5 linked regions of the Xenopus tropicalis genome follow. The protein of the gene in region 3 binds, or shares a complex with, the protein of the main gene of each other region. Links are inferred from orthologs where the notes say so. Each region holds a gene or a part of one and is shown on either strand. Other genes may lie near its edges.

Region 1 (6,143 bases), on a different chromosome or scaffold from region 3:
GGTTTATAATAAATTGCTTGACGTGTTTCCCAAGGAGGTCTTTGTCCCCCAAAATTACATCCAGAGGATGTTCAACCACTACCCACGCCAGCAGGAGTGCGCCATAAGGGTGCTAGAGCAGATGGAGAATTACGGTAAAGAGCCTACTACTTACTACACTACTTACTATGGGCCAAGGAGGGGGCTATGGGACATGGAGTCTGTCCCTCCCACTGCAGGGTGATACAGTGACACAGACAGGAGGGGGCTATGGGACACGGAGTCTGTCCCTCCCACTGCAGGGTGATACAGTGACACAGACAGGAGGGAGCTATGGGACATGGAGTCTGTCCCTCCCGCTGCAGGGTGATACAGTGACACAGACAGGAGGGGGCTATGGGACATGTCTGCCCCTCCCACTGCAGGGTGATACAGTGACACAGACAGGAGGGAGCTATGGAACACGGAGTCTGTCCCTCCCACTGCAGGGTGATACAGTGACACAGACAGGAGGGGGCTATGGGACACTGAGTCTGTCCCTCCCACTGCAGGGTGATACAGTGACACAGACAGGAGGGAGCTATGGGACATGGAGTCTGTCCCTCCCGCTGCAGGGTGATACAGTGACACAGACAGGAGGGGGCTATGGGACATGTCTGCCCCTCCCACTGCAGGGTGATACAGTGACACAGACAGGAGGGAGCTATGGGACACGGAGTCTGCCCCTCCCACTGCAGGGTGATACAGTGACACAGACAGGAGGGGGCTATGGGACACTGAGTCTGCCCCTCCCACTGCAGGGTGATACAGTGACACAGACAGGAGGGAGCTATGGGACACGGAGTCTGCCCCTCCCACTGCAGGGTGATACAGTGACACAGACAGGAGGGGGCTATGGGACACAGAGTCTGCCCCTCCCACTGCAAGGTGATACAGTGACACAGACAGGAGGGAGCTATGGGACACGGAGTCTGCCCCTCCCACTGCAGGGTGATACAGTGACACAGACAGGAGGGGGCTATGGGACACGGAGTCTGCCCCTCCCACTGCAGGGTGATACAGTGACACAGACAGGAGGGAGCTATGGGACATGGAGTCTGCCCCTCCCACTGCAGGGTGATACAGTGACACAGACAGGAGGGGGCTATGGGACACGGAGTCTGTCCCTCCCACTGCAGGGTGATACAGTGACACAGACAGGAGGGAGCTATGGGACATGGAGTCTGCCCCTCCCACTGCAGGGTGATACAGTGACACAGACAGGAGGGGGCTATGGGACATGGAGTCTGCCCCTCCCACTGCAGGGTGATACAGTGACACAGACAGGAGGGGGCTATGGGACACGGAGTCTGCCCCTCCCACTGCAGGGTGATACAGTGACACAGACAGGAGGGAGCTATGGGACATGGAGTCTGCCCCTCCCACTGCAGGGTGATACAGTGACACAGACGGGAGGGGGCTATGGGACACGGAGTCTGTCCCTCCCACTGCAGGGTGATACAGTGACACAGACAGGAGGGAGCTATGGGACATGGAGTCTGTCCCTCCCGCTGCAGGGTGATACAGTGACACAGACAAGGAGGGAGCTATGGGACATGTCTGCCCCTCCCACTGCAGGGTGATACAGTGACACAGACAGGAGGGAGCTATGGGACACGGAGTCTGCCCCTCCCACTGCAGGGTGATACAGTGACACAGACAGGAGGGAGCTATGGGACACGGAGTCTGCCCCTCCCACTGCAGGGTGATACAGTGACACAGACAGGAGGGGGCTATGGGACACTGAGTCTGCCCCTCCCACTGCAGGGTGATACAGTGACACAGACAGGAGGGAGCTATGGGACATGGAGTCTGCCCCTCCCACTGCAGGGTGATACAGTGACACAGACAGGAGGGGGCTATGGGACACGGAGTCTGTCCCTCCCACTGCAGGGTGATACAGTGACACAGACAGGAGGGAGCTATGGGACATGGAGTCTGCCCCTCCCACTGCAGGGTGATACAGTGACACAGACAGGAGGGGGCTATGGGACATGGAGTCTGCCCCTCCCACTGCAAGGTGATACAGTGACACAGACAGGAGGGAGCTATGGGACACAGAGTCTGCCCCTCCCACTGCAGGGTGATACAGTGACACAGACAGGAGGGAGCTATGGGACACAGAGTCTGCCCCTCCCACTGCAGGGTGATACAGTGACACAGACAGGAGGGGGCTATGGGACACGGAGTCTGCCCCTCCCACTGCAGGGTGATACAGTGACACAGACAGGAGGGAGCTATGGGACATGGAGTCTGCCCCTCCCACTGCAGGGTGATACAGTGACACAGACAGGAGGGAGCTATTGGACATGGAGTCTGCCCCTCCCACTGCAGGGTGATACAGTGACACAGACAGGAGGGGGCTATGGGACACGGAGTCTGTCCCTCCCACTGCAGGGTGATACAGTAACACAGACAGGAGGGAGCTATGGGACATGGAGGCTGCCCCTCCCACTGCAGGGTGATACAGTGACACAGACAGGAGGGGGCTATGGGACACGGAGTCTGTCCCTCCCACTGCAGGGTGATACAGTGACACAGACAGGAGGGAGCTATGGGACACGGAGTCTGTCCCTCCCACTGCAGGGTGATACAGTGACACAGACAGGAGGGAGCTATGGGACATGGAGTCTGCCCTTCCCACTGCAGGGTGATACAGTGACACAGACAGGAGGGGGCTATGGGACACGGAGTCTGTCCCTCCCACTGCAGGGTGATACAGTGACACAGACAGGAGGGGGCTATGGGACACGGAGTCTGTCCCTCCCACTGCAGGGTGATACAGTGACACAGACAGGAGGGAGCTATGGGACATGGAGTCTGCCCCTCCCACTGCAGGGTGATACAGTGACACAGACAGGAGGGGGCTATGGGACATGGAGTCTGCCCCTCCCACTGCAGGGTGATACAGTGACACAGACGGGAGGGGGCTATGGGACACGGAGTCTGCCCCTCCCACTGCAGGGTGATACAGTGACACAGACAGGAGGGGGCTATGGGACATGTCTGCCCCTCCCACTGCAGGGTGATACAGTGACACAGACAGGAGGGGGCTATGGGACACGGAGTCTGCCCCTCCCACTGCAGGGTGATACAGTGACACAGACAGGAGGGGGCTATGGGACATGTTTGCCCCATATAATAAACACAAATAGTGGATACTAAGCAGACAGATTTCTCTCTTTTACAATTTTTTGTAGGTATCACCCCCAACAAGCAAACATGCTTTCTCCTGCTACAGATCTTTGGGGCCCGCAGCCACCCCATAAGAAAATACCAGCGTATGATGTACTGGTTCCCACGCTTTAAACACACCAACCCCTTCCCGGTTCCTGCTGAATTACCAGCTGACCCAGTGGAGCTATCCAGGATGTGCCTGCATCGTATTGCCAACGACTTGGATTCTAGGGTCGCCGTGTACCAGGCGAGTATTCTCACACCCACCTACTGTCATCTGTAAAAACTGTGTGCAAGGAGCTAACAGTCTGTTCTGATAATATACAGATGCCCTACACAGAGAAATGCGACGATGGCAAAGAACGGGAGCATCTGCACGTTGTCGGTAGGTGTTGCTCTGTCCCAGATACACTATGATGAGAGGGTTAATCAGTTTAAAAAGAAACAGTATTTCAATATGTTGCACTGCGCCACCTACTGGTGGGGCCACAGAGGTAAAAGCAAAGCCTGTACTCTCACTGCTTTTCACTTTATGGTGAACAAATTGAATTGCCGAATCTATTGCTCCTGTCTGTACCCCCTTGTCGGTAAGTAGGGCTTGGTTATTATATTCCTATCACTGTGTCTTTTGTAGGTATTCAGTCTCCCAGTCAGGTCTCCCTCCTTGCTGCACACAACCCCAGCACCCCTGTATACGTTGAGGGGCCCTTCCCGCTGTGGCTCAGGAAGACGTGTGTGTACTACTACATCCTACGTGCTGACCCCGATCCTATGAGAAAGGAGGTGAGAGTTGATTCCATTAAATGATTAAGTGGGTGTGTCTGGGATCTGTACCGATTGTTTCAACACTGTTTGGCGTTAACATCTCACAACCCACGTGTCTAATTAAAGGAGAAATATGCCAAACTAACTGTTGTGTGACTTGTTTGTGTGCTTTTGAAACTGAATACGCAGGAAGCTTCTCTCTTGCTCTAAATGGCAGGCATGGAAGCTTCCATTTGGCCCAGGATGGTTTCCAGGACCCATTGGGCCCTGCTGGTAATCACTGGCCTGATATTCACTTGCCAGAGGGGCTTCTGTAAGGTGCCATAGACCAGGGGTCCTCAAACTTTTTAAACAGGGGACTATAGTTAGTCCTACCCCCACCTCCACTGCGTCCTCATCCCTGGCTACTACCAGTCTGCCTCAGGGTGGTCCTCAGCCCCAGCGCGTCACATCACCGCGTCACACCAGCCAAGACAAATGACGCTAGACAGGTAGTAGCCAGGGGTGAGGACGCAGCGGGGGATGGGTAAATGACCTTGGGGGGGCTGTATCTGGCCCGCGGGCCATAGTTTGAGGACCCCTGCCATAGACAGTCTGGGCTGGTGGCGGGGAGGCTGGTTGGGCCTCTGTGTACTTGGAATACCAGGGCCAATTTGGATCACTGGCAGAAGAGAACAGTTCTGAGGGACAGAAGAACCAAAAGTTTAGACTAGAAGGGAGCTGTGGAAAATGGTGGGTTATACCATTTCCAGATCAGTCTGTGACCCAACCCCATATTTTCCACTAAAAGTTACTGGTTGGCCAGTCCTGACTGCAATCAAAAATAAATGTGTGATGGTCACCAAGAACTCGTACCTGTGATTTCCTGTGATTCTGGTTACAATTGATTCACACTGATGACATTGGCTGTGGCTGTAAGTGTGGCCATAAACTGTATATATAAGGGGAGAAGGAAAAATTCAGCATAGCATATGCTCGGAAATGTACTCTAACCTTACTACACCTCTCTCTTCCCTAGGAGGAGATAGACAATGAGAGGAGCTTATACTATCCCCTGAGCTTGGACCTGGAGCTGGACAGGGACCTGGGCGATGATGACAGCTTTGATGTTGATGATGGTAAGAAGGGGTTCTGCAATGCTCTGTGTATCTCTGGGGCCATTACGTACAGTTCTATCCTACATTGGAAAGTATGGGTAGGGTGGGGGTTGGTGTAGCTTATTGGGTGAATAAGGTAAAAGGGCCGACCCTGGTTGGATAGAGGTGACTGACATATAACACACACTACCAGAGGTTTCTTGTTCCCCAGAAAATATCCTTTACTGACCCTTCTAAAATATGAACCCTCATTGGTCTTTCACCTACTGATGATGTACCCTTCTTTATTTCCCCTGTTACAGTGGAGGAGGGCCCCATCTTTGCTATGTGCATGGCTGGTTCTGCCTACTGATGATGTACCCTTCTTTATTTCCCCTGTTACAGTGGAGGAGGGCCCCATCTTTGCTATGTGCATGGCTGGTTCTGCCTACTGATGATGTACCCTTCTTTATTTCCCCTGTTACAGTGGAGGAGGGCCCCGTCTTTGCTATGTGCATGGCTGGTTCTGCCTACTGATGATGTACCCGTCTTTATTTCCCCTGTTACAGTGGAGGAGGGCCCCGTCTTTGCTATGTGCATGGCTGGTTCTGCCTACTGATGATGTACCCTTCTTTATTTCCCCTGTTACAGTGGAGGAGGGCCCCGTATTTGCTATGTGCATGGCTGGTTCTGCCTACTGATGATGTACCCTTCTTTATTTCCCCTGTTACAGTGGAGGAGGGCCCCGTCTTTGCTATGTGCATGGCTGGTTCTGCCTACTGATAATGTACCCGTCTTTATTTCCCCTGTTACAGTGGAGGAGGGCCCCGTCTTTGCTATGTGCATGGCTGGTTCTGCCTACTGATGATGTACCCTTCTTTATTTCCCCTGTTACAGTGGAGGAGGGCCCCATCTTTGCTATGTGCATGGCTGGTTCTGCCTACTGATGATGTACCCGTCTTTATTTCCCCTGTTACAGTGGAGGAGGTCCCCGTCTTTGCTATGTGCATGGCTGGTTCTGCCTACTGATGATGTACCCGTCTTTATTTCCCCTGTTACAGTGGAGGAGGGCCCCGTCTTTGCTATGTGCATGGCTGGTTCTGCCTA
Region 2 (6,634 bases), on a different chromosome or scaffold from region 3:
CAAATTTTTCGTGACCCCTGTAGGAGCAAATACAAGTCCCTGCAGTTTAGAAATGGTTCACTGCAAATAAAGAAAACACACCAATCTGCTCTTGTTTATGCACTCTGCAGAATGCACTACTAGTGCTCTCTAGTACGTAAGAAGCCTGACAGTATTCACAGTTGTCAGTCAACACAAATGTGATGGACACTTGTGTCTTACCTAAAGGGGTAGTTCACCTTAAAATAACTTTTAGTATGATGCAGACAATTGGATATTCTAAAACAATTTGCAATTGGTCGTAATTTTTATGGTTTTTCAGTTATTTTGGTTTTTTTTTAGCAGCTCTCCACTTTGGTATTTTAGCAGCTATCTGGTTGCTATGGTGCAATTTACCCTAGCAACCAGGCAGTTGTTTGCACAAGAGTTGGGAATACGAACAGAGAAGGGCCTAAATAGAAATATAACTAATACAATAACAATAAATGTAGCCTCAGCTGCTGGGTCCAGTGAAAAGAGTCAAAAGAGACAGGCAAGTAATTTAAAAACTATAAAAGAAATATTAATTCTTATTAATATTATTATTAATAATAATTTATATAATAAGACCAACTGCAAAGTTGCTATAACATTCTATAAAGCTTACCTAAAGGTGAACCACCCCTTTACTATATCTTTCTTTAGCTGTTTCATTGGAGTCATTTTCAACAGTCATCTTTGTTTATTCGCCTTTGTCATGTTTGTTTGCCTTACCATCATCTCCAAGCTGTTCCTTGATTTTTTCAAAATCTGAACCTCCAACAACCCCAACTTTTACCCTTTTTCTCAGCTCTTCTAGAAATTCTGCCATGTCTTTTGTGACTTTCTGTAAAATACAATAATAATATAATAAAATATACTGCTCTGGGAAAAATCGTACTCATAATTCTCTCAAACATGGGGTCCAAAAGATGGACCCTTTATCATGGTTGAACTTCAGCTCCCTATTGCCTGCATCATTCATGTAAATGCAAGACATGCTGGGGTCATTTATCATTGTCCCACGTGCAAATGCTACAGCTCAAAGGGGCTCAAAATTCTGCCTATTACTGACCATTTACCCAGCATAAGGGCCAGCTATGCTCTGCACCTCACAGCAGATTAATAATTAATGTGCTGGCGGGCATGAATTTTTAGCCTCCCAAAGATAGAATGAAATGCAATTAGGGGGGAAGGATAGAAAACTCCTATATGCCCCCTCCCCAGTGGTCCCTTGTGAATACAGCTCTGCAGAGTGCCTGTTTTTTCAGGTTGTCAGGTTGGGGGTGCACAGGGTCTTGAACTCCTCGCTGGACCACAAAGACCTGCATCCATGGTGTGAATGCAGGCTGAGTTCAATTGTGCAAAAAACATGGCAGTTTGAACCAATATCTGCATTTTGTTAAAATTATCCTTACTTTTTATGCAGACAGTGCATAAAAAAAAAAAAGTAATCTAGGATTACTCGAAGATACAGAGCTTCTTGGTGATTTCACCTACTTGTAGCAGTGCTTGTCATTAGCAGTGTGTCCCAAAATGTACTCCAAGCAGCATGTACTAAATGTTTATTGTCATAAAGCAAGCTAAGACCTTTGTTGTTTGTCAGTAAAAAAGATAAACCCAGTCACAAGTACAAGAAAACTTATTCCCCATAGAAGGTGTAAACACTGACCATCACTTTTTTAGAAGTAAAGTGAAATGTATTAATTTTTTACCTAATTTTACCTACTTCTAGACTTAGTACAAGGAAAAAGCTTAATCACTGATGTGGTCACAATTTGTTAGCTACCTCTTAGTACTTATAATAATGTTATAATATATAAAGGGAATTTAACCCCCCCCCCCCTTCTAAATCAATTCTATGCAATTAGCAGGTCAAAATGGATGCATTTTACTGAAATGCAACATACACTATGAATTCCCGGTTGCAGCCCGGAATCCAACATAAACTATAAACTTAATGGGGCAGAAGGGTAGAATTTTGTACTGTTATTTATATTCTGGTAAAGTCTTAATCTTACTCTGTCCTATTGCGTTAACTTTAAGCACTGCATTTACATGCAGTATATAAATGCAACATATACACACATAACATGTTTGCAATGCTGTGTGAAAATAAACTTGTGCCAAAAGTGACAGATCCTTGTGAATAGTTCTCGGTTCTGATACTGGTACCTGCCTGGCTGCTGTCAGGGTGCCATCCACATCGAACAAGCACAGAACGTCACATTGAGCCATGACTGCTGCCAGTCGGATCTTTCTCAGCTCAGATGAATGGAGAAACACAGTCCTTTCAAATGTCAAACAAGCCACATCACAACTTCCTATTTGGGTCCTGAAGCCCAGAGCATGACGGGAACTGTATTGCCGGAGTCAGGATGTCACCGACTGTTCATTGACAAAAGAACTCAATCTCCCAGAATGCCTCGCATGGAATCGGAAGTGATTGTAGCTTAGTGCGCTGGGAAGTTTAGCAAAGGAGAAGCGTGTGTAGGAGTGCGGACAGGGGTGAGTATAGAAGAATCGAGCTGCCTGTCCTTCCCTTAGGCTTAGGGAACTCGTACAAGGAAGTGTTCAAATATGACATTTTATTTAAAAAATTGATGTATTTAGAAACAGAAAATTGCTATGCACAAGAGAAATGCAAAAATAAATAAGAAGGGCGTTGGGTGCCTTGATGTTGGTTTTATTAGTAACTGGTGTTTTAAAGAAATAAACTTGCACCACAAATTTAACAGATCACATTCATTGACAGCGTTGCGCTACGTTAACTCCGGCTTGTCCCAGCCTGGCCCGGAAAGGCAGGAAAACTGGCACCAAGGGGGCAATCCTTTCTTATTCAGTCTGATAAACAACTAAGGAAAAGGGGCATCAAAGTGGGTATCTTTGCCATCCTGCCAGCAGATATATGGGTTAAACTGAGTGGCCAAGGGCGTTTAACCCCTTCATCACCCCTGTTACTTACTCAAATAGGCAGAATCATCATTCATTTATATAATGCCAGCAAATTATGCACCACTTCACAATAAATTTAAACAAACAGGGATTTTAAAAAGTTTAACAAACACGGGTATGCAGAGTAAGAATAGGGTGAGAGGGCCCTGCTCGCAAGAGCTTACAATCTACAGGACTGCAAAGATGCCCAGTAACATCTAGTTATGCCAATGTGCATTGGTATTTAATCCATTGTTGCCACAAGTCTTTTTTTTAAAGGGATTATTCACCTTTTTGTCAATTTTTACTATTTTAAGAATGTCCCAAATTTTTCATTGGTCTTCATTTTTTAACTTTTATAATTTTTCAATTATTTGCCTTTCTCAGAAATTCTCTTTCCAGCTGTCATATGGGGGGTCACTGACCCATTATTATTCTTCCGCTTCTTCTTCTTCTTAGTGCCCCCCATTTTCTAACCGCTACTCCTCCTACAGTTTTAGGGGTACAACACCCAAACTCCCCACACTTCTTCGGCCTATAGAGGAGCAGGTTGCTTGTGCTTTTCTAAGCGATTGCGCCGCTCCGAACCCCCCAATTTTTCCATTGACTTTGACAGGGAAGATATTCAAACTGCTGGCACACTTACAGCTTTGAAGCTGCACCCCCCAAACTTGAATAACATAATAATGGGGTCACCCCGAATGAAACAGCAACATTTGTTGGATGACCCCCAAAGTGGGAGGGGCCAATCAAATTTTACCCATTGACTTTAATGGGGAAATTGAAACTGCTGCCAATCTTACAGCTTTGAGGCTACACTCCCCAAACTTGAATCACATAGTCATGGGGCCAGCCTGAATGAAAATATGATGATTGTTGGATGCCCAAAAGTGGGCGGAGCTGTGAACAGCCAATCAGATTTTACCTGTTGACGGTGGAAGTCCCCAAACTTTGCAGGGTTAGGCACCAGGTGACTGTGGTTCAAGGTTAAAAAAGTGGACGGAGCCACCAACAGCCAATCAGAGTTTACCTATTGACTTTCAATTTTGCTTTAAATTTAAAATGCTGCCAGTCTCACACTATTTATGCCAGGGTGCCCACTGTTTGTCACTGGGTGACTTTGACTCAAGGTTAGAAAAAGGGGCACAACCACCAATCACAATTCACCTATTGACTTTTATTGGTTTAAACTGCTGCCGTTCTTTAACTATTAATCCTAGGGTCCCTAAACTTACCAGAGTTAGTCACTGGGTAACTGCAGTTCCAGGTTAGAAAAAGGGGGTTGAGCCACCAACCACCAATCAAATTTAAGTTGCTGCCATTCAGACACTATTAAAACCAGGGTCCCCAAACTTTGCACAGTGGTTTTTACTGTATAACTGTGGTCCAAGGTCAGAGAAAGTTGGAGGAGCCCATGCAGTGACTTCATGTTTTTCAACCCAACATGAAGTTTTTTCTCAAACTTCCCTTTCTAGTTATTATTGAAACTTTTTAGCCTTATCCTTATATACATGCCCTCTCATTTTAATGTTCTGGCCTCTTTTAATCCAGGGCCTGGTTTCTACGTTAAATTGACCCCTAGCAACCAGTTAGCTGCTGAAAATCCAAATTGCAAATTGTTTCCGAATATCACTCTCTACATCATAGTAAAATTTAATTTAAAGGTGAACTACCCCTTTAAATGAGAGACTGAAAGATGAACGATAAGTAATAATAACAATAAAATTGTTACCTGAGAAAGAAATAACTTTTTGAATTTAAAACTTGGAAAGAGGCAGAAGTGGAAAGCAAATCATTAAAAAACAAAATTAAAAAAAAAAAAGTAGCTGAAATCATGCCATTCTATAACATATTCTGGCCTTGGAACATGTGGTATGACAAATTATTTGAGCACTACATGTAAATTGCAGCACAGTACTGGTATAGACAGTCCAAGAGGCAGTTAATTAGCAACAGGTACCATAGCCACAATGCAGTAGTTTGGAACACAGAATGTAAGATGAATAATAGAGGGTATGAACAGAAAGATAAGAAATACAAGATAAGAATAGAAAGCTGTGGGTGGAAAATAAGCAGAATAGGAAGGCTAATAATTTCAATTTTCTGTGAACTTTTCCTTGAAAAATTTTAGGTAATGTGAGTATATATAAGGCATTATGATCTAACAGTTATATTGTTTCTCCTTTGCAGGACCCAGTCATGGCCCATGTATGCCTGATATCTAGATGCATAAAGTATTTACACATGGGCCAGTTGGCCTGGAGTTCCAAGTTACTTTGCAGAACAACTTTCTTCAGATCCTCTTCAGTGTCACTGACATCATGTCAAGGCTGTTCTTATCTCTTTCTTCATCATCGAAGCAAAGCACCACTTCCTCTAATGAATCAGATTTATTTCTCTTCATCTCCTCCTCTCTTAGCCGGGATCAGTAACACTGAGAAGTTCACGATGATTTATAAGTTTCCAGGAATAAAGTACTGCCGAGCTGTTTCTCGTCTAAAGCTTCTTCAGACAGCACTGACTGCTATATTCCTTCCGCCCATGTATTATTACTATATTCAAGGTCAGGTCACATATTTATGGGTTGTGTATTCTACTGGCACAGCACTGTTTGCAGGTCTTATGCTGTACTGCCTGAGTTTCTACCTCAGAAGAATTATTGGGATGATATATTTAAACACAGCAGGCACCACCTTAAAAGTTTCCCATCTGACATTTTGGGGAAAGAGGAAGGATCTTTATATTCCAATTGATGATGTGAAAGCACTCTCAGAGACTGGAGACCACAGACGTGAAACTATCCTCCAGTTCAAACGATATAGTAGCTCAGACACACTGTATTTTACTTCTCAGTTTGGAATCATTTTGGACAAAGAGAAGTTTATTAGACTGTTTGGAGCTATAAAATGTATAGACGATTTGAAGTAATTAAAGTGCAAGTTAGCCTAAATAAAAATAATTAAAGTAAGTGCTTCAGTTTCCTGTTTGCTTGGAAATAAATTGATAATTTGCTTTTCTATTGGTTGATAATAGTTCCTGCTTGGAAATGCAGTAAAATACACTCAGGCAGTATACAATGATATATAGATATATTTGCACACATACATACCCTTTTAACATGAGCAGAAGATAGTTTAGGATGGACAAATATCCTGTGAGTATCCAGGTTACTGACATACATAACCTGCTAGCTAATAATCAGGACTACAGAAATAAGGAAATAAAAATGGCAAGTCATGAGAATGAAATTCCCTGTTCCTAGTCTCTATTCATTTTTAAGGCTTGAGAATAGGGTTTTAAAAATTTGACTTCACAAAAAGATGGAGGATCTCATCTTTGATTATTAGGCTGGTGGCAGAGAAGTGCCTCTCTTATCCCTCTGCATCCCTTTCACTCTAATAGGAAACACATGTCAGCCCCAGTACTGGCATTCTTCAGCCAGAGTGCTGTTTCCTATTTAACTGAAGAGAAAATGTCCCATATGCTGTTATATCATTTACTGCAAGATTCACGAAAACTCTTGAGTTCCAAGATGCATACAGTATATTAAATTCCTTACTTTTGCCTTCAGTAATCATAAAATTATATTTAGGCTTACCATGCAAACTACGGCCTGGGTGAACCAGAAAAAATGTTTATAGGGGAAGTGAAAATAATATATTCTTTTTTCAGACAAAAACAATATCACACTGCTACTTAAATA
Region 3 (5,943 bases):
TCTGTTGGGGGAGAGAGTGGGTATCTATTGGGGGAGAGAGTGGGTATATATTGGGGAGAGAGTGGGTATATATTGGGGAGAGAGTGGGTATATATTGGACAAGTGTGTGGGCATCTATTGGGGGAGAGAGTGGGTATATATTGGGGGAGAGAGTGGGTACAGTTGGGGGAGAGAGTGGGCATCTATTGGGGGAGAGAGTGGGTATATATTGGAGGAGAGAGTGGGTACAGTTGGGGGAGAGAGTGGGTACAGTTGGGGGAGAGAGTGGGCATCTATTGGGGGAGAGAGTGGGTATATATTGGGGGAGAGAGTGGGTACAGTTGGGGTAGAGAGTGGGTACAGTTGGGGGAGTGTAGATGGGGGGCATGGGTATATATTGGGGAGAGAGAGGGCACATTTATGAAAGATAAGGCAAAAGGAAAGTGCCCTCCTTCTTGCACCCCCAGAAGAGTTGCCCCCCCACTCTGAATGTTGCACTGACTGCAGTTCTGCGGTTTTGCAAGTGACGGGGGGTCAGTAATGAGCCCCAAAAGTGACAGCCCTGGCAGGGCAAGTGACCATCCCACAGCTCACCCATAAGGACTTGAATCCCCACTTGGTACTTATCTGGCAGAATAAGGGGGTGCCCATGGGGCAGTTGGGGGGGGTGTCACTCATGTGATGAGACTGATGTGCTGTCCCTTTAAGGTGAGACCCCGCAGGAGGAAGAGAGGAGAGGCCGGCGGGCCGAGTACCAGCAGGAGGGCCCCAGAGCTAATACTCAGAGCATGAGGTTCCACCGGTGCCTGGCGGCTACAGAACTGGCAGCAGGGGGGCCCCAGGCCAGTAGCGCTCAGGGCCGGCTGGAGGGGCTCCTGAAGGATAAACCTGCCAAACTGTCTCTGCGCCGGGCCGGCCTGGCACTGAAGGTATGGGGGGCCCCCAGCACTGGGGCGCAGGGAGTACTGGAATGAAACATGGGGCAAGTGCTGGGGTAACAGGGCAGATTACTGGGGGGGGGGGGGAATGGGCCGGCATTTATGATGAATTTATTCTTGTGCAGCCGGTGCCGGCGCTGTCTGTGCTGCAGAACTCTGGGCCCAACCCCAATTACATTGGCCAGGAGGGGGGGCAGCTCCGTGCCAGTCACTTTGTGCCAGGAGAGTTGGGGCGCCACCGCCTGACGTGGGAAGGAAACGCAATCCCCTGTCCCAACACAGAGCGTGGAAAGTTCCAGCAACTGAAAGGCCAAGACTTCAAGTGAGTCCAGTTATAGTTACACTACAGCTCTGGGGGCGGGGCAACTTATTATTAGCAATCCTATTGGCCAGAGACAAGCAGTGGCAGACAGGGGGGTGGTGTGCACCCCCAAATACAGTGCTTATATCTTTGCTCCCCCACTGTCAGCCCCACCCTCCTCTCCCTCCCACATTTCTATTCCCCTCCCCATTTCTCCTGGTTGGTTATTATGGGAATGCCCTGGGTCAGGCCCCGGCCCCGTGGGTTACTATGGGAATGCCCTGGGTCAGGCCCCGGCCCCGTGGGTTACTATGGGAATGCCCTGGGTCAGGCCCCGGCCCCGTGGGTTACTATGGGAATGCCCTGGGTCAGGCCCCGGCCCCGTGGGTTACTATGGGAATGCCCTGGGTCAGGCCCCGGCCCCGTGGGTTACTATGGGAATGCCCTGGGTCAGGCCCCGGCCCCGTGGGTTACTATGGGAATGCCCTGGGTCAGGCCCCGGCCCCGTGGGTTACTATGGGAATGCCCTGGGTCAGGCCCCGGCCCCGTGGGTTACTATGGGAATGCCCTGGGTCAGGCCCCGGCCCCGTGGGTTACTATGGGAATGCCCTGGCACCGCTGGTTACTATGGGAATGCCCTGGGTCACGGTGGCAGCACCAAACATTACCCTGTATGATTCCTTATTCCCCGTTTCTCTGCCGCAGCCTAAACTGCTCCCAGCACTCGTTTCTGTACAAAGGAGAAATAAAGGATCTGAGCCCAGAAGAGAGAGGGGTTCTGCTGGCGCTGGCCCAGACCCGGGCACAGGGGGGCACAGAGCCGGGCACAAAGAGAAGGGTTCAGGCCTCCGGCAACATTATCCAGACCCAGAGCCACAATGGATTCCTGCTGCAGGTTCAGTAAACTCCGCCCCTTTCACATATGAGAATAATGATTCGCCGGTGGATAACAGAGTCGCTGCCCTTTATTGTAGCAGAAATAAAACAGCAGGTAAACTTCCCCTTTATTGTTTGGGTGTCACTTCCTCCTGGTGTGATTGGCTCCTGGGCACATGGGGCGGTGCCTGTTCAAACCATTACATCAAGGACCACAAGCTCCGCCCAATCAAAGTCAGTAATACTGTGGCCCCCAGCATTGCAATAAAGAAGGCACACAGGGGATTCTGGGAGAGGTAGTTCCACTAAAGCTACAGGCCTGAAGGCACTTACGGTGGAAACGGAATCTTCCCGACCAATCAGAAAAGGAGATCAATGAAATTTAATCAAAATCTGGTACAAAGTAGCGATAAGTTCTGTGCAAACGAACCCCCAGCTCTGGGCTCTGATTGGTGCGACTGGCGCCTACGCCCCGGGGTAACTAAGTCCATTGGGCAAGTGCCGCTCAGAAGGTTCTGTCCAGGGGGTGGGAGCAGGTGTACCCCCTCTTCTCCAGAACGTGCGCCGCGATCTTCCGGATACTGTCGTCCTGGTTCTCCGGGGAATCTGCGCGGAACAGACAGCTGATTGGCCGGCAGCGTGAGGGGTCAGCGCTATTGGCCGGCAGCGTGAGGGGTCAGCGCTATTGGCCGGCAGCGTGAGGGGTCAGCGCTATTGGCCGGCAGCGTGAGGGGTCAGCGCTATTGGCCGGCAGCGTGAGGGGTCAGCGCTATTGGCCGGCAGCGTGAGGGGTCAGCGCTATTGGCCGGCAGCGTGAGGGGTCAGCGCTATTGGCCGGCAGCGTGAGGGGTCAGCGCTATTGGCCGGCAGCGTGAGGGGTCAGCGCTATTGGCCGGCAGCGTGAGGGGTCAGCGCTATTGGCCGGCAGCGTGAGGGGTCAGCGCTATTGGCCGGCGCCACACAGGGGATAGTTGGCCTTTAAACTGACTATAAGTATTTCCCGAAGTGAAATTCCTCTTTGCAGTTGGTCTTCATTGTGCCCCAACCCTGAGTCCTTGCCTTGAATACCCGGGATCTCCAACCCCACCCCACCCCCCCCCCCCCCCCCCCAGCTGCCCCCCCCCCCCCCTAGGGCACATAGGGGCCCCAAACTGAACAACAACAGTTAAAAAATGGAACCTGTGAAAACAAAGACCAACTGCAAAGCTGCTTCAGAACCTCACTGCTCTTAGAGGCCGGGCCGGGGGCGGTACTTACGCTTGCCCAGCTGGGCCAGGGTGTAGTTGTTCTTGAAATAAGCCTCGGAGCAGAACATGTTGGCCAACAGCACCTGGGGGGGGCAAACAGGCAAATGAGACCAAATGAGGTGCTAGGGACCCACTCTCGGGGTACTGGGCACACAGACTGGCCCCTGGGCCTATAGGAACCGCACACACTGGGTGCTAGGGACCCACTCTCGGGGTACTGGGCACACAGACTGGCCCCTGGGCCTATAGGAACCACACACACTGGGTGCTAGGGACCCACTCTCGGGGTACTGGGCACACAGACTGGCCCCTGGGCCTATAGGAACCGCACACACTGGGTGCTAGGGACCCACTCTCAGGGTACTGGGCACACAGACTGGCCCCTGGGCCTATAGGAACCACACACACTGGGTGCTAGGGACCCACTCTCGGGGTACTGGGCACACAGACTGGCCCCTGGGCCAACAGACAGGCTACTGGTTCCCCTGTGACCCATTTTAGAGGTTCGGGGAGAGCGAGATCTGTCACTTTATTTAGCGTGAATTGGTCCCCGGGGGGCGCTGTTTCATTGGGGTCTATTTGGGGGGACCTGACTTCAGTTACCAGAGAGAAATCAAGTGTGGGGCCCAGTGGGGCTAGCTGGGATGTCTGTAGGGCAGAGTGTGGCGCAGCACCAGCGGGCACCAACCCACATCCACTTCAAATGCCTTAGACTCTACCACCATTGCAGATAGCCCTGGTGGCTACTATAAGTACTATTATGGGTGCTACTATAGGTGCTACTATGGGTGCTACTGTGAGTACTACTAAAGGTGCTACTGTGAGTACTACTATAGGTGCTACTGTGAGTACTACTATAGGTGCTACTGTGGGTGCTACTGTGAGTACTACTATAGGTGCTACTGTGGGTGCTACTAGAGGTACTACAGTGGGTGCTACTGTGAGTACTACTATAGGTACTACTGTGGGTGCTACTGTGAGTACTATTATAGGTACTACTGTGGGTACTACTATAGGTGCTACTATGGGTGCTACTGTGAGTACTACTATAGGTACTACTGTGGGTGCTACTGTGAGTACTACTATAGGTGCTACTGTGAGTACTACTATAGGTACTACTGTGGGTACTACTATAGGTGCTACTGTGAGTACTACTATAGGTACTACTGTGGGTACTACTATAGGTGCTACTGTGAGTACTACTATAGGTACTACTGTGGGTACTACTATAGGTGCTACTGTGAGTACTACTATGGGTACTACTGTGGGTACTACTATAGGTGCTACTGTGAGTACTACTATAGGTACTACTGTGGGTACTACTATAGGTGCTACTGTGAGTACTACTATGGGTACTACTATAGGTACTACTGTGGGTGCTACTATAGGTGCTACTGTGAGTACTACTATAGGTGCTACTGTGAGTACTACTATAGGTACTACTGTGGGTGCTACTATAGGTGCTACTGTGAGTACTATTATAGGTGCTACTGTGAGTACTACTATAGGTACTACTGTGGGTGCTACTATAGGTGCTATTGTGGGTACTACTATAGGTGCTACTGTGGGTACTACTATAGGTACTACTGTGGGTACTACTATAGGTGCTACTGTGAGTACTACTATGGGTACTACTATAGGTACTACTATAGGTACTACTGTGGGTGCTACTATAGGTGCTACTGTGAGTACTACTATAGGTGCTACTGTGAGTACTACTATAGGTACTACTGTGGGTGCTACTATAGGTGCTACTGTGAGTACTATTATAGGTGCTACTGTGAGTACTACTATAGGTACTACTGTGGGTGCTACTATAGGTGCTATTGTGGGTACTACTATAGGTGCTACTGTGGGTACTACTATAGGTACTACTGTGGGTACTACTGTGGGTGCTACTATAGGTGCTACTGTGAGTACTACTATAGGTGCTACTGTGAGTACTACTATAGGTGCTACTGTGAGTACTACTATAGGTGCTACTGTGAGTACTACTATGGGTACTACTGTGGGTGCTACTATAGGTGCTACTGTGAGTACTACTATGGGTGCTACTGTGAGTACTACTATAGGTACTACTGTGGGTGCTACTATAGGTGCTACTGTGAGTACTACTATAGGTGCTACTATGGGTGCTACTGTGAGTACTACTATGGGTGCTACTATAGGTGCTACTGTGAGTACTACTATAGGTGCTACTATGGGTACTACTATAGGTGCTACTATGGGTACTACTATAGGTGCTACTATGGGATAGGAAGTGGGACCTGGAGCTAAAGTGAGTACAATAATAAATAAGACCAATAACAGGGAAATGATAAGGAATATAATATTTATATGAGGAAATGGAGCCGCAGAGCTGCGCAGGGGGGCCCCCTAGTGACCAAATACATTTATATTCTCGCACAGATGATAAAGTTACAAATTTTTTTTAGTTTATTTCAATCCATTAAACCCCACACAGAGCCCAGCGCTCCCCCCGCACTTACCCACCGGCTCCTACAGGGGGAGTAACTCCCATATAAACAGATCCCAAGCCTCACCCCCCATTACATAAACCAATATAAAATACATCAGTTATTATTTTCCACTTTATCATCTG
Region 4 (6,139 bases), on a different chromosome or scaffold from region 3:
GCCCAGCGGCATTGCAGGGAGCAGCACAACATATTGACTAAGGGCAGCATAAGCCGTAAATCCGGCACCTGCAAATAATAGTAAAAATTCTAACATGTTATGGCTATTGTCTTTTGATGAAGCCAAGAATGCAGGCAATGTAAACTGGACAACTTCACGCTGTTTAAATGTTAAAAAAAGGATTAGAACTCAAAATATTATAGTACATTCCCTGTAGAACCTATACATTTCTTCTGGTCCGTTAAACTAGAAAATGAGCCCAAATGCAGCGAACTATTCTTTTGTACTTCATTTAAGTGTGTCCAAAAAGAACCTGTACAACAAAACACTCAATATATATTGCATTGGTAAAAGAAAGCAATGTCTTCCCATTAAATAAATATGTCAAGAGGATTGGCTTTTATTGAAAAGCTCTACCAGGAAAGAGCAAATCCACGTGTTAGAGAAGAAAAGGCCTGACAAAACAATTATTATATAAACTCCTTCCAACTGCCATTTCTTTTATCTGGTTATTCTAGTTCTTTCCTTATATAACTGCAAAATGAAAAGAACACCAAAAATAAGTTCAGCTTGACAGTACCTAAAGCACTGGTTTGCATTGTCATTTAGTGCGAAGAACAGAAATATTATTATATCTAGATCCTAAAAATGAATATAGCTAGAAATGCCATAGTTCCAGGGTTCAAAGTTGTCACAGGAGCTTCCCATCCTGGATTTTGTTTGGGAGTGTCAGTGACACGCACATGCTCAGTGTGCTCGGGGCAGCTGTTGAGAATCTAAGCTTAGGAGTTGTCACACATTTTCAAGTAGAAAATGGAGTTTGCCTGTCATACAAGCTAATGCTACAGGGCTGTTTATTAAATTCTGAGGGTATTTGAACTGGGTTCAGAGATGCCATGTAACAATCATCAAATTATTTACTATTCAGCCTTATATTGTAACATTTATAATTATACTGTATACAGTATATTGTGAGTTGGTCCCTAAACTCAGTAACTGACAGCAGCACAGAGCATGTGCAGGGAATTAGCAGAAAGAAGATGAGGAGCTACTGGGGCATATTTGGAGGCACAGATCTTCCCTGCTAAAGGGCCATGGTTGCCTTGGGCTGGTACAGAACCCCATCATGTAAGAGCACTTTATATTGTAAGCTCCACTGGTTAGGTGACTGATGTGAATGATGTATAATTTCTGTAATGTGCTGACTAAGATGTCAGCACAATATATAAAGGATAATAACAATGATATTCCACCTCCTTTCCTCACCCAATCTCTTTATTCTCCTAGTCTCTTTTATTTACATGCTAGCATATATCCTTCTGCTATTTCTCCTCCTTGTTTTCATTCAGAAATAGGGAATGACCATGAAGGTCAAATGGTCAGGAGCAGGAGGGCCCACCAGTAGCTCTCCAAGTATTCTGGTGGGCCAGTCCAACACTGCACCTAACAGAAAATTGTTAGGGAAACATGCAAAAAACAGAGATGTTATACAACTCACAGTAGCCCTTCAGTGGCAGATATTAGTCCCACTCACTATCCTTTAGTCACATACACTACATCAGTGATCTCCAACCAGTGGCTTGTGAGTCTTTTTAAATTTGATAGTGGCCATGAGTAAGAAAGGTTGGGGACCCTGAACTACATGCTTCAGGTTCTTGGCTCAACCTTGTCTGCTTAGAGAATGAGAGAAAACAGCAGGCTGTCCATTGGGTTGCCACTTTTTCCTGTCAATAATACCAGCCCTCTGGTTGGGGGCAGAAAAATGGGAACACAAATCTCAGATACAACTGTTGAATGGGGAGAGGCCATTAAAGGCTCTCTTTTGTTCTTCCATTACCAATTCCCTGTATGGCTAATTAACAATTAATGCAGATGCATAAAAAAGGGTACATAAAAATCAGTGAAAAAGAATGCCATAGTCCTGAATTGTTAATTTTGACTGAATTGCTCATGCAGGATGAACATAAAATCAATTATTCCACACTTTCATCTGTTAGCAAAATCCTCGCTAAAACAAAAAAAAGGGAACCAAAGTCCTTTACACAATAAAACCTGAGGTAGGTAGATGTAAGCAGCACTTAATGGCTCTTTTTATACACTAAATTCGCAATACGTGGATTTAGTTGACTGAACCTGAAGGATTTTTGCAGATCATTTGCAATCCTGACAAAAGCTCATTACACAACCCCTACTATAACCCCCCCAATAATCCACAGTTTATTTTCTTATATCACCCATAAATATTTATTTTAGGTATCAGTTCCCTTAATAAACATGCAGCATATGAAAAAACGGTTTTATTATCTTAACAAAAATATTTTATAAAGTTTCCTTTTCATCTCCATCTGCCACATTGGATTCATGGATTGGAATGCGCAGACCATTATTCAGTTGCAAGATGACTTCCTGAAGAGACCACCTGAAGGGACGGACAGACAGAGACAAAAATCTTGTTTTTCTGTGTCTCGAGAAAGGTCCCAAACATGAACCGAAAGGCTGACAAATAAATACTTTTTTTCTTTTTCACCACATTATGAAGCCCTGGAGTATGTTTGTTGTTTATTATGTGAATTTATATATTCTCATATGGCAGCACACAGGCAGATGCTACATTATGTGTGTACATTATGAGTGCAGAACATATGGGGTGGCTTATTTATAATATATATATACTGTATATATATATTTATATATATATATATATATATATATATACACAAGTGGCTCCACAGGTGTCGTCACTCTTTCCCAAATCAGCAAGATTGCTGGTGGTTGTAGTTTATCTACAGCTAAAGGGCTACAGGTTAAACATCCCTGATACAAGAATACTATTTTGCATATTCCATAAAGGCTCCAAAATTTAAAACAGCAGACAAAAATTAAAGCCAAAGAACCATGTGAAGGCCTTTAGGTAGGTAGGTAACTGGTAATCTCGTTGTTATATTTATTTTGCCTTATCAGAAATAATAGTGTGGGTAGATTTGCAGCTATACAAGCAAAACATTTAGCATTATATTGTAACATATGGATTGGTGGGCATAGTGAAACATCATTAAGAGCATGGACTGGACTGAAACATGCACAATTAAGACACAGATCTCGTTTTGTTTCTCTTCCTATAAATATGTTATGGTATTTTTAAGAAAATATTAATTAAAGGATAAAGGTAGATAAAATGGCCACACAACAATACAGCCACACACCCCCACCTGTTATTTACTCGGTCTCTGACAGACGTGGTATAAAGGTGCCCAGCTGACAACGTTCCTGAGACTGGAATCTTGATCTGCAAACACATCAGTAATTATTAAGGCTGAGTGGTTGTTTTATCAAGCATGCTACAAATTCCTATGATATGAAATAAGCTTCTGTTCTGAGACCTACCTACATATTTGTGTGCATTGTGTTCTGCGAGATTCTGTTAATAACAGGGAAGAAGGAGAAGGTGGAGTGCATCTCAAGCAGCATACCTTCACTGGCATAGAACAACATTTCTATTTGTATTATTTTCCTTTATTTATCTAGCGACCAGTGGCACATGTCGTTTTGTGGCCAGACTGCTATTTTCCACTGTCTGTGTTAATATTGTATTATAGAAAATTTACTTTCCACAGCTGACCCATTGTGATGTCCTTTAGTAACTGAGACCACTGCATTCAATAGTTACAATGAGGTATGAAGCTTGTGAAAAAAGGGGGACTCATTTACTAATGAGTACAAATGTGGTTACATATTATTACTGCAGCCATGCACAAACTATCATTATATTGGTGGCATTGGGACTTGGCTAAATGCTATTGTGCTGTGGTACCCAAGCTTTACACTGCTCATAAAGCATCCAAGTCCCTCTGAGCATCCAGTCAGTTCCCGGCACAGCAAGTAACCAGCAAGTATAAACCAGTGGGCACCCTCAGTCTGCCAGTCTGCCCATGAACGTAGTGTACTGTGGTTTGAGCACAAGTAAATAAATAACCAGCAAGCCATAACATGCCTGCACAGGACAGGAAATACTTATATGGGATCAGGCAAAAGTGCAGAAATAGAGCAAAAATTACTTATTAAATACAAAGTTTCACCAATATCAGGATATGGAAACTTTTGCTAACATGCTATGACATACTCCTCTGTATAACATGAATATTATATTATTATATATGTTTTATTGACATGCTTATGGAATGCGAGTCATTATTACATAAAGTTATCCCTGCTGTTAAAGCCTCCATGGCTTTGGTATCAGGCTGAAATTCCCAGATACCCTAAGAAACATGCAATCCTTAGCATATGTCATAGCAGCACATAAGCAGCTTTTGTGGTTGCTTAAGGTTACCACCTGTCCTTAGGGCTCCCTATCAGTATAATACTGTTATCATCATGCAGTCCGATATGCTTAGCCAGCAATGACAAGCAAGGAGTAACTTGCTGTTTTGTTCTCTCTAAGGCTTTAATGACAATGATTGTATATCATCTAGTAATACCCTGTGACTCAACAGATGCCTGCCTGAATCAACTGAAATTAGGGTTCTAGGCACACTCACCCCTGGGCAAAAGGTCAAGGTCTGGTCACCGGTATAATAAGCATTTAGAGTAACTCCAAGAGTAGGGCACAAAATATATTTATGTTGCAAGTATTGAAGCAGGCAGGATGTGAGGTTGCTTGAATTATATGGTCTCACCATCACTGAAACCCTATATATGATATGTGCTGTTAATGCATTTCTATTTATCCATTCTGCTGGGAAAAAAATTGTTAACTATGCCCCTTAGCAAATATTAGGATTCTGAGGAAGATATCCCTCTGTGGTGTCAAAACATTGATATAATAAAGAGAATGATTTTGTATTTTTGATGAAAAAAAATCCACAGTGCATCAAAGTATGTTTTGGACTATTGTAATTTGGAGGGGGAGAGATGAGATTCCCCATCTGATCTGCACCTGGTGAAAAGTTGGGTGTGCCTGTTCCCCAAAAGCTTCTGACTAAATAAAATGAAAATGGTGGTAGGGCTGTTCAGGAGTCAGACTGGGGTGTGTGGGCCCATCGGGGCTTGAAATGTGAAGACTGTGCATGGGCATCAGTGGCATAAACCAAGGAAGCAGACTCTACAGCTGCAGACGGAGCCCAGGGGTACAGGGGGTCCAGCAGTCTGCTTTCTTGAACTACGAGAGAGAGAGAGAGGTGTCACAGGTGAGCTGGAACTTTGCTCCTGTTGCAGGTCCCCTGTGATTATGTGCAGTGGGTACGTGACCGACAAATTTGCTTTCCCCACGTGTTACAAACAATTTTGTGCAGAGGGAGCCTATAAATATATTTTGGGTGGGTCCTGAGGTCCCCCATTCTGGTGCATACACAAGATTTTAGGATGATGCAAATGTCTACAAAATGGTGCTTGCTATGATAGTGAATCACTCCCACTGCTGAAGGAAACAACATTTAAATAATTTATATAGTGTTAATAAAGTATATTTTGTTCATTTGTTGTTTGCAGCTACAAGCACTCAGCCCTAGCTTCAAAGTACATGATGGTTGAGATTCTTGCAAGGTATTAGTGGTCTGAGGCATGTGTGTGAGCCCAAGAGCCCTCTCTTATAGAACTATTCTGTCCTCTGTTTCCTTTCTTAAAGGAACAGTAACTCCAAAAAATGAAAGAGCTGTAAAGCAATAAAAATATAATGCACTGTTGCCCTGCACTGGTAAAACTGGTGTGTTTGCTACAGTAACACTACTATAATTTATATAATAAGCTGCTGTGTAGCCACGGGGGCAACCATTTAAGCTGGAAAAAAGGAGAAAAGGCACAGGTTACATAGCAGATAACAGATAAGTTCTGTAGAATACAATAGTGTTTTATCTGTTATGTGCCTGTGCCTCTTCTCCTTTGAATGGCTGCCTCCATGGCTACATAGCAGCTTATTTATATAAACTATAGTAGACTTTCTGAAGTAAACACACAACTTTTACCAGTGCAGGGCAGCAGCACATTATATTTTAGTTACTTTTATATACTTTCATTTTTTGGTGTTACTGTTCCTTTAAAAGAACAGTTCAATGTAAAAAAGAAACTGGGTAAAACAGACAGACTGCGCAAAATAAAAATATTTGTAATATAGTTAGTTGGGCAAAAATGTAATCTATAAAGG
Region 5 (6,680 bases), on a different chromosome or scaffold from region 3:
ACTTACACACCTTGTCAGTCCATAGAGGATGCTGGTTGTCCTGAATTCTGCCACGACTGGATAAGAAGAATTTGGAGAAAGGGATCTGCCAGAGACAACAACTACTCAATGAGATGTACACATTTTCTCTGCACTGAGGTGGACAAACAAAGCAAACATAAAGCATTTATGGATGTCTGAGACATTGACTGAGCAACTGGTACATACAATATATACATCATTATTGTGTTTACCCCATATACTGCCTGCTTCTTACACAGGCCAATACAGGCTGGTATTCTACATAGTACTTTTTTTTCAGCAAAGTGCATTAGGAGCAAGTACATAGATAAACAGATAAAAAAAAAGGTTTTAATATACACAATTACAGTAGGTTTACTTTCTGTAAATCCCAGCTTTTATATTACTGGTCCAATCCTGTTTGGGGAAGTAAGCAACTTCCATTTGACAGTTATAGCCTGCCGAGCCTAGCCTGGCCTCTGGGTGTGTAGGAGGTGGTCACTAATGAAGGCCAAGTAGGCAGAGACTCAGGTAAGCTGCTTGGTCAGTGTGTTACTAACCACCTCCCGATACTTTGCGTGTAGGCCCAAAGCATAAGGGTCACAGAACTTTTTCCCAGCACACATCTAGGACATTTAGCCATTTAATAAAGGCTTATGGATGTATCATCCTTTCAGGTTTAAAGAGTCAAACAATGAGAACTCTAAAGCCTCCTTACAATTGTCATTTGGCACAGTGCCCAGGTCCTGTATCAGATATACAAATTGCATAATATTTTCTACCATTAGCTGCTATTATTTTTTCACATCTTACTGCCAGTTATTTGAACCTTTCCCGAAAAGGAAAAAAGAAAGGTTAGGATTCATCCCTTACGTGTAACTCTCAGGATATTGTAGTGCAAAACCTTATGTTTAAATAGATGTTTACAGATGGGGGAAACTCCCATCTCCTCTGGGTTACAGAGGGAGAGAAGTCCTGAAAAATGAGGACTTTCTGCCCGTTATCCTTATACACTCATCCCATCCGCTATAGTCTTTGTGCTCTGGGCAACTAAGGGGTCCGGGCAGGGTGAAATGGGGCACCCCTCTGTCTAAGCAGGAAACTCAGAACAATGGCATCCATTAGGAAGGCCCACCCACCGGAAGTCCAATGTCCCCATGCTTAAACTGCCCAAGCTTGATGTTTTTTTTAATGACACCTCTTCTCTGCAGGAAGTGGCTGCAATCTGTCATTTTTAGATGGGATTAAACTATTACACAGCCAGATATTAGTTTGCCCAATCTTGGCAAACTCATCCCAACCTCAAATACAGGATTTAATGGTTTTCTTTTACCTTTATGTCTTGCCAGTAAGGGCCTCCTTGGGTGTATATGAAATAATTGTATAGATCATCCCTTTGTTGGGAGAAATAGCTGTCTGACTTGATGTTCACCATCCAAGGTCGTCCATCCCCACGTACTCGCAAGTACAGAGTGTTAAAGTTGGACCAGTCATAATGCAGCTTACGATTGAATGCTCCCTACATGTTAAAAACAAACAATCATGAAACATTTATGTGCATTGATTTATACCCTGAGGTTTTTGCAATGACAGATTTATTACTCTGGAGAAGACAGGCCATGGTTGCAATCACACATGTGAAATGTTATTTGTTGGTAAAGCCAAGCTGGCAGTCTGCTAACGTTCATTATTATCTGGCCACTGGGGGAGCTGTTACATTAAAGTTTATGGAGATAAATACTTAAAGAAAAACTGTCATGGGAAAACATTTTTTCAAAATATATCAGTTAATACAGCTTCTTCAGCAGAATCCTGCATTGAAATACAATTTTTTAAAGCACAAACATTTTTTATTTTGTATTTCACATTGGGTTAGACATATTCTTCATTTCCCAGGGTGCCACAGTCATGTGACCTGTGATCTGATAAACTTCAGTCACTCTTTACTGCTGAGCTGCAAGTTGGAGTGATATCCCCCCTCCCAGCAGCCGATCAGCAGAACAATGGGAAGCGAGCAAGATAGCAGCTCCCAGTAGGTATCAGAATAGCACTCAATAGCAAGAAATCCAAGTCCGGCTTGGGACTCCTCCAGTTACATTGGAGTAGGAGATATATTAAGTTACCTGAAAGCAGTTCTAATATGTAGCACTGGCTCCTTCTGAAAGCTCAGACACACAATGCACTGAGATGGCGCCTACACACCAATATTACAGCTAAAAAATACATTTGTTGGTTCAAGAATAAAGTGTTAAATGGTAGAGTGAATTATTTGCTATGTAACCAGTGTAATTCAGAAATAAAAAGTATGCCATAAAAATCATGACAGAATCCTTTTACCTAAAAGAGGAAATAAATTGGAGGTAAACCATGCATATTTCATAAAAATTGTTTATAATGGAAATGGTAATGGTCCACTCCAGTAAGTAACAAAAACCAAAGGCCGTTGGCCCTCCAGCTATAAATCTCCAGCTTTCCCTAATGGCCACTGTAGTTTGATGCATGTTGCACATACCTACCATTAAATATTCAATAAACAGACTGTGCACACTTAACTGGTTTCAATATAAAATGTAGCAGTTCACCAACATTCTCATTAGTCTTTTATTTGGAACTGCTATCAGATCAGTCTAAATATTAAATAAAGGCAGTGAATAAATGGTACAGTGTAGCCTTTAAACATTTAATAATGAGCACAGCAACCCACACCTTTACTGCCTTTTATAGAACATTTCCCCCTGACACTGCCATATATTTAACCCAATATATAAAAAGGCAATAATTTTGCCTAGGTGCCGTAACCCATTAGCAACCAATAAAATGGGTAGAGCTATTCTAAAACAACAATAATAACTATTTGGACAGTTATTATCTGTGTGTAGCTTCTGTTCCGCAGCTCTTCTGTGTTGCATAGTAACCACACTGTTGTTAAGAGGGACAGTGGCTCAAGGGCAGAGGCTAAAACACAACAATGCTTTCCTATTGCAGTTGCATTGAGTGGCTTATCTAGCTTAAATCTGCCCATGTATGGCCTTAAGTCTGCCCTACAGACGCCTGGGAAAGGTAATTAAGCCATGTAGCACTGTGTATTTTTCCCAACAGTAGCACCAACCCCAGGGATAAAGACATAGCAATTTTATTCACTCGGGGGGCGCCCAACATATTGGCATCCCACAGTGAATTTGCTATTCCTTCATATTTAAAAGTTACATTTAAAAAAAAAAAAAAAAATTTATGAACACTAAAAATATTTAGCAACAGATGTGATTCTTTAAGTTCAGCTTTAGTATGTTACACTGTAGACTTATTTGTTACAACTTTTCAAGTGGTTTTCAATATTTTTTAATCATAGTTTTTGAATTATTTGACTTCTTCTGGCTCTTTCTGGCTTTCAAATGGGGGTCACTGACCCCAGAAGCCAAACTGTGTCAGAATATCAGTCTTTACATCAGACTAAAAGTAAATATAAAGGCGAACAACCCCTTTACATGGAAGTGCATTATTTCTCTTTACTAGCACTGTACTTACCAAAGGGGTTTTGGACTTCATAGTGCAGTACCCACTGTATCTTGTTTCGCCATCCCGAGGAACTTCAGTATTGAGGGTACCATAAAAAAGAGCTGTCTGATTGTTCCTTCCCAGCTTTAGAGACACCTGACTTTTCCCTCCTATCTCCTGGTCTGACGATAGAGTCCATTTGTCCAGATCCTCTAAGCTTCTGAACTCCCAAACAACATTTGTCTGCTCCAAAATATTCTCCCTCAAAGTCTTTCCCCCAGGACCTCTCAAATGATCCTCTACTTCCTTCTTCAGCAACCCAAAGTGTTTCTTCACTCCTGCCACTCCCTTCTCAAAGCTGAAATTGATCCTTTTCCAAGGAGGAGTGTTGTCTGGGGGGAGGCCAGGCCTGCGATATTTGCTGCTGTACAGTTTGCATTGCAAGAGTTGTGAAGACGGGTGCAACAATGGGCAGAATGGTTTAGTCCATCTGGGATGTCTGCACAGATGTAGCTTCTGTATTATATTTAAGCTTAAAGCCATTGCTGTTTAGATATAAAATAAAAATGTTCAGTTTATAAAATCCTGAATGTTGCATGAAACCCAGGGGCCTTTACCTAAAAATAATTTGGGGTTTGAGAGAAAAAGACAATATCATTTAAGACATTTAAATACAAATACATTTTTTAAAGAAATCTGTAGAAGTTACTGTGTTTTTCCTCAGGGCGCAATTATCAACATCAAAGATTCTTGGGGGGGGGGGGTTATTTACAAACATATCTGCACCATTGCAACCAACCAACATTGAATACATTACAGCAGTGGGGAGCATCAGGTAAGGTGTGAAGTTTAAGAGAGCAACTCGCTTGGGGGAAGGGACAGAGACATGTGCTAAGTAGGTATTGTGGGTTTAGGGCTCATACATTTCCTAGCAATGCATGCTGATACATATACAGAGAGATCATCATCAATAACCAAAAGGCTTACCCCTGGAAGCAGAAGCTTAGGAAGGCAAGGTCATCATTTCAGCAGAGACTGACATAACAAAAGAAGGTCAAGTTGGTGCAAAACAATGTAAATGACAGAAAGGAGCTTGGATACTATGTGCCTTTATTGCCTAAGTGGTAAAGCCCTGAAGGACCCTGCATAGCTGCCTGTACCGCAACAAGTTCCATTATATACCTGGTATGGGGCTGCAGCTGAAGCAAGCACACAGTATTACCATTATTCCATAAGGCTACAGCGGCTCACCTCCACAGTGCACTCCTTCAAGGAGCCATAGTACTGACAACCCGTGAACCTCTGAGCATGCGTGTCCGTGTCGCCTCCTAATGACCTCACCGCTAGCCAACCAATTAAACGTGAGAGCGGGCAGGCAAAGGCAGGCATGCGCAGATGCGTTGCTGATGGAACGCATGGGAAAGCGTTTGTATACAGCTTTATTTACACCTAACAAACATTCTTGAAGACAACGTTACAGATTAGTCTACCTAACTAAGATTATCATTCATCTATCCAGCCATCACGTGCATTCAAAATTATGAATTTATAAGAAACAGTGAGTTAAGAAGATCGTGTTAGTTTGTGTAAAAAGCTTAATACATATACCACATACTAGGCAATATTGCATCCCTTTTCCTCAGTTTTAAATATTATCCTTTATTTATATATCACTCATATATAAATGCAGCACATTGCATTGATTATGATACTCATCTGCCCCTTTGCCATTGGAGCTTACAATCTAAGGTCCCTATATCATTTACATACACTAAGGTCACTTTCATCAAAGGCCAATAAAGCTCACTGTATGGTTTAAGAGGAATCACAGTTCCCAGAGGAAACCCACACAAGCACAGGAAAAACATACAGTGCCCAGATTGGAACCAAATTCAGGGAGCCGTGCTAATTACAGGCCACCAGTGTAGTTTACATCATATGTCTTAAGTATTTACTATTAGGCCTTCAGTGCTACTTGGTGAAAGTAAATATCCAAAAAAGAAAAAACTGCCAATTGATGACCTGATTCATTCTCTGGATTGGCCACATTTTAATTAGCCAAATGGAGCAAAATCTTGTATGTGACCAAAACGTTAACAATAAAACTGTTTCCTAACACTTAGTAAGGCCTGTGAGTGCAGTTACTTTTTTATTGATTTTCTATATGTGTACATGAATGCATGTGCATGTGCATATGAGTTGGAGCCAGTCCCACAGTACCAGACACAAAAAGCCGCAAAAGACTTTGTCCTTTCTTAATATCACAAAATTACAAAGTTGATAAAAAAAAATAGTTTGAGTAGGAAGCATTTAAGGGAAACTAACACAAAAATGATTGTTATAGATGTTACAGATAGTGTATGTATACAGGTGTTTCTAGTTATAATGAATTTACCATTTGGAAACACAACAGATAAGCACACCGCCATCTTACCAGCGGCTGTGCTGGTCTATTCCCAGACTGATTAGGGTTGTATTTAACACACAACTGCCATGGATAAGCATTTGATAACAAGTGCTTTCTGTAACAGTGCTCAGCTTACTACTATTTTAAATAGAGTGTCTTTATGCCATTTTGTTAACTTTGTTCTATTTGAGTTAAATCTGCTTTGTTTTGTTTTATAGTTGGAGTAGATAGAGGTAGAGCAGGGATCCCCAACCTTTTATGAGCCACATTCAAATGGAAATAGTGTTAGGGAGCAACAGAAGCATGGAAAAAGGTCCCGGGGGTGCAAACAAGAGCTATAATTGGCTATTTGGTAGCCCCTATCTGGACTGGCAGCCTATAGAAGGCTCTGTTTGGCTTTACACTTGGTTTGTATGCAACCAAAACTTGCCTCCTTACCAAAAATGTTAAAATAAGCAGCTGCTTTGAGGCCACTGGGAGCAACATGTAAGGGGTTGGGGGGCAACATGTTACTCACGAGCCACTGGTTGGGGATCACTGAGGTAGAGGGAAGTCATCAAGGTCACAGCAAAAGCTATAATCCCCCATTTGCCTGATATTTGTATGTTACCCAAACTCCACCCCCCATTCACCCAGTATTGGCTGAAATTCATAAATGCATATTTTTTTTATCAAATAGTGAGTTTTAACTTTCACCCACTGATAAACAGGCTTCTAAAAATCCCATAGGAATGAATAGAATATGGGTGAGTTTTTATGTATTAAGCGCTAAGCTCAC

What was found.
Region 1: the proteins of acad9 (region 3) and ecsit are in contact, whole or in part, in a cryo-EM structure (PDB 8PHE), measured with the Homo sapiens proteins. The link is inferred for Xenopus tropicalis from reciprocal best matches to the Homo sapiens genes ACAD9 and ECSIT. Residues at the interface, in NP_054768.2 of Homo sapiens: Leu180, Thr181, Asp188, Ala189, Ala190, Ser191, Ile192, Lys228, Lys239, Asp240, Lys241, Ile242, Phe293, Ala296, Met297, Leu300, Ile431, Met434, Tyr435, Leu438, Thr439, Leu441, Gln442, Gly445, Thr449, Leu516, Gly520, Lys521, Ile523, Met524; in NP_057665.2 of Homo sapiens: Pro321, Glu322, Glu323, Trp324, Asn325, Leu326, Tyr327, Tyr328, Pro329, Met330, Leu332, Asp333, Leu334.
Region 2: acad9 (region 3) and tmem186 share a complex: the UniProt entries of both Homo sapiens proteins name them as parts of the mitochondrial complex. The link is inferred for Xenopus tropicalis from reciprocal best matches to the Homo sapiens genes ACAD9 and TMEM186.
Region 4: acad9 (region 3) and coa1 share a complex: the UniProt entries of both Homo sapiens proteins name them as parts of the mitochondrial complex. The link is inferred for Xenopus tropicalis from reciprocal best matches to the Homo sapiens genes ACAD9 and COA1.
Region 5: acad9 (region 3) and ndufaf1 share a complex: the UniProt entries of both Homo sapiens proteins name them as parts of the mitochondrial complex. The link is inferred for Xenopus tropicalis from reciprocal best matches to the Homo sapiens genes ACAD9 and NDUFAF1.

What each region holds. Positions count from the first base shown.
Region 1 is NC_030679.2:139,301,981-139,308,123, reverse strand, and holds part of ecsit (evolutionarily conserved signaling intermediate in Toll pathway, mitochondrial precursor), read left to right. Parts: coding exon 1-134; intron 135-3,218; coding exon 3,219-3,442; intron 3,443-3,522; coding exon 3,523-3,580; intron 3,581-3,829; coding exon 3,830-3,978; intron 3,979-4,978; coding exon 4,979-5,078; intron 5,079-5,359; coding exon of another isoform or gene 5,360-5,409; exon of another isoform or gene 5,410-5,483; intron 5,484-5,523; coding exon of another isoform or gene 5,524-5,573; exon of another isoform or gene 5,574-5,957; intron 5,958-6,143.
Region 2 is NC_030685.2:38,351,070-38,357,703, forward strand, and holds tmem186 (transmembrane protein 186), read left to right. Parts: upstream 1-2,410; 5' UTR 2,411-2,505; intron 2,506-5,121; 5' UTR 5,122-5,130; coding exon 5,131-5,859; 3' UTR 5,860-6,044; downstream 6,045-6,634. Other genes in the region: pmm1 (phosphomannomutase 2), read right to left, coding at 733-844, 2,173-2,235. UniProt on the Homo sapiens protein: As part of the MCIA complex, required for efficient assembly of the mitochondrial complex I.
Region 3 is NC_030680.2:151,577,437-151,583,379, reverse strand, and holds the end of acad9 (acyl-CoA dehydrogenase family member 9, mitochondrial), read right to left. Parts: intron 3,425-5,943; coding exon 3,352-3,424; intron 2,701-3,351; coding exon 2,600-2,700; 3' UTR 2,166-2,599; downstream 1-2,165. Other genes in the region: uncharacterized protein KIAA1257 homolog, read left to right, coding at 688-908, 1,043-1,239, 1,924-2,122. UniProt on the Homo sapiens protein: As part of the MCIA complex, primarily participates in the assembly of the mitochondrial complex I and therefore plays a role in oxidative phosphorylation.
Region 4 is NC_030682.2:57,123,417-57,129,555, reverse strand, and holds the end of coa1 (cytochrome c oxidase assembly factor 1 homolog), read right to left. Parts: intron 3,287-6,139; coding exon 3,210-3,286; intron 2,420-3,209; coding exon 2,320-2,419; 3' UTR 2,229-2,319; downstream 1-2,228. UniProt on the Homo sapiens protein: Component of the MITRAC (mitochondrial translation regulation assembly intermediate of cytochrome c oxidase complex) complex, that regulates cytochrome c oxidase assembly.
Region 5 is NC_030684.2:115,760,366-115,767,045, forward strand, and holds the start of ndufaf1 (complex I intermediate-associated protein 30, mitochondrial), read right to left. Parts: upstream 4,042-6,680; 5' UTR 4,041-4,041; coding exon of another isoform or gene 4,039-4,040; coding exon 3,526-4,038; intron 1,520-3,525; coding exon 1,334-1,519; intron 134-1,333; coding exon 11-133; intron 1-10. UniProt on the Homo sapiens protein: As part of the MCIA complex, involved in the assembly of the mitochondrial complex I.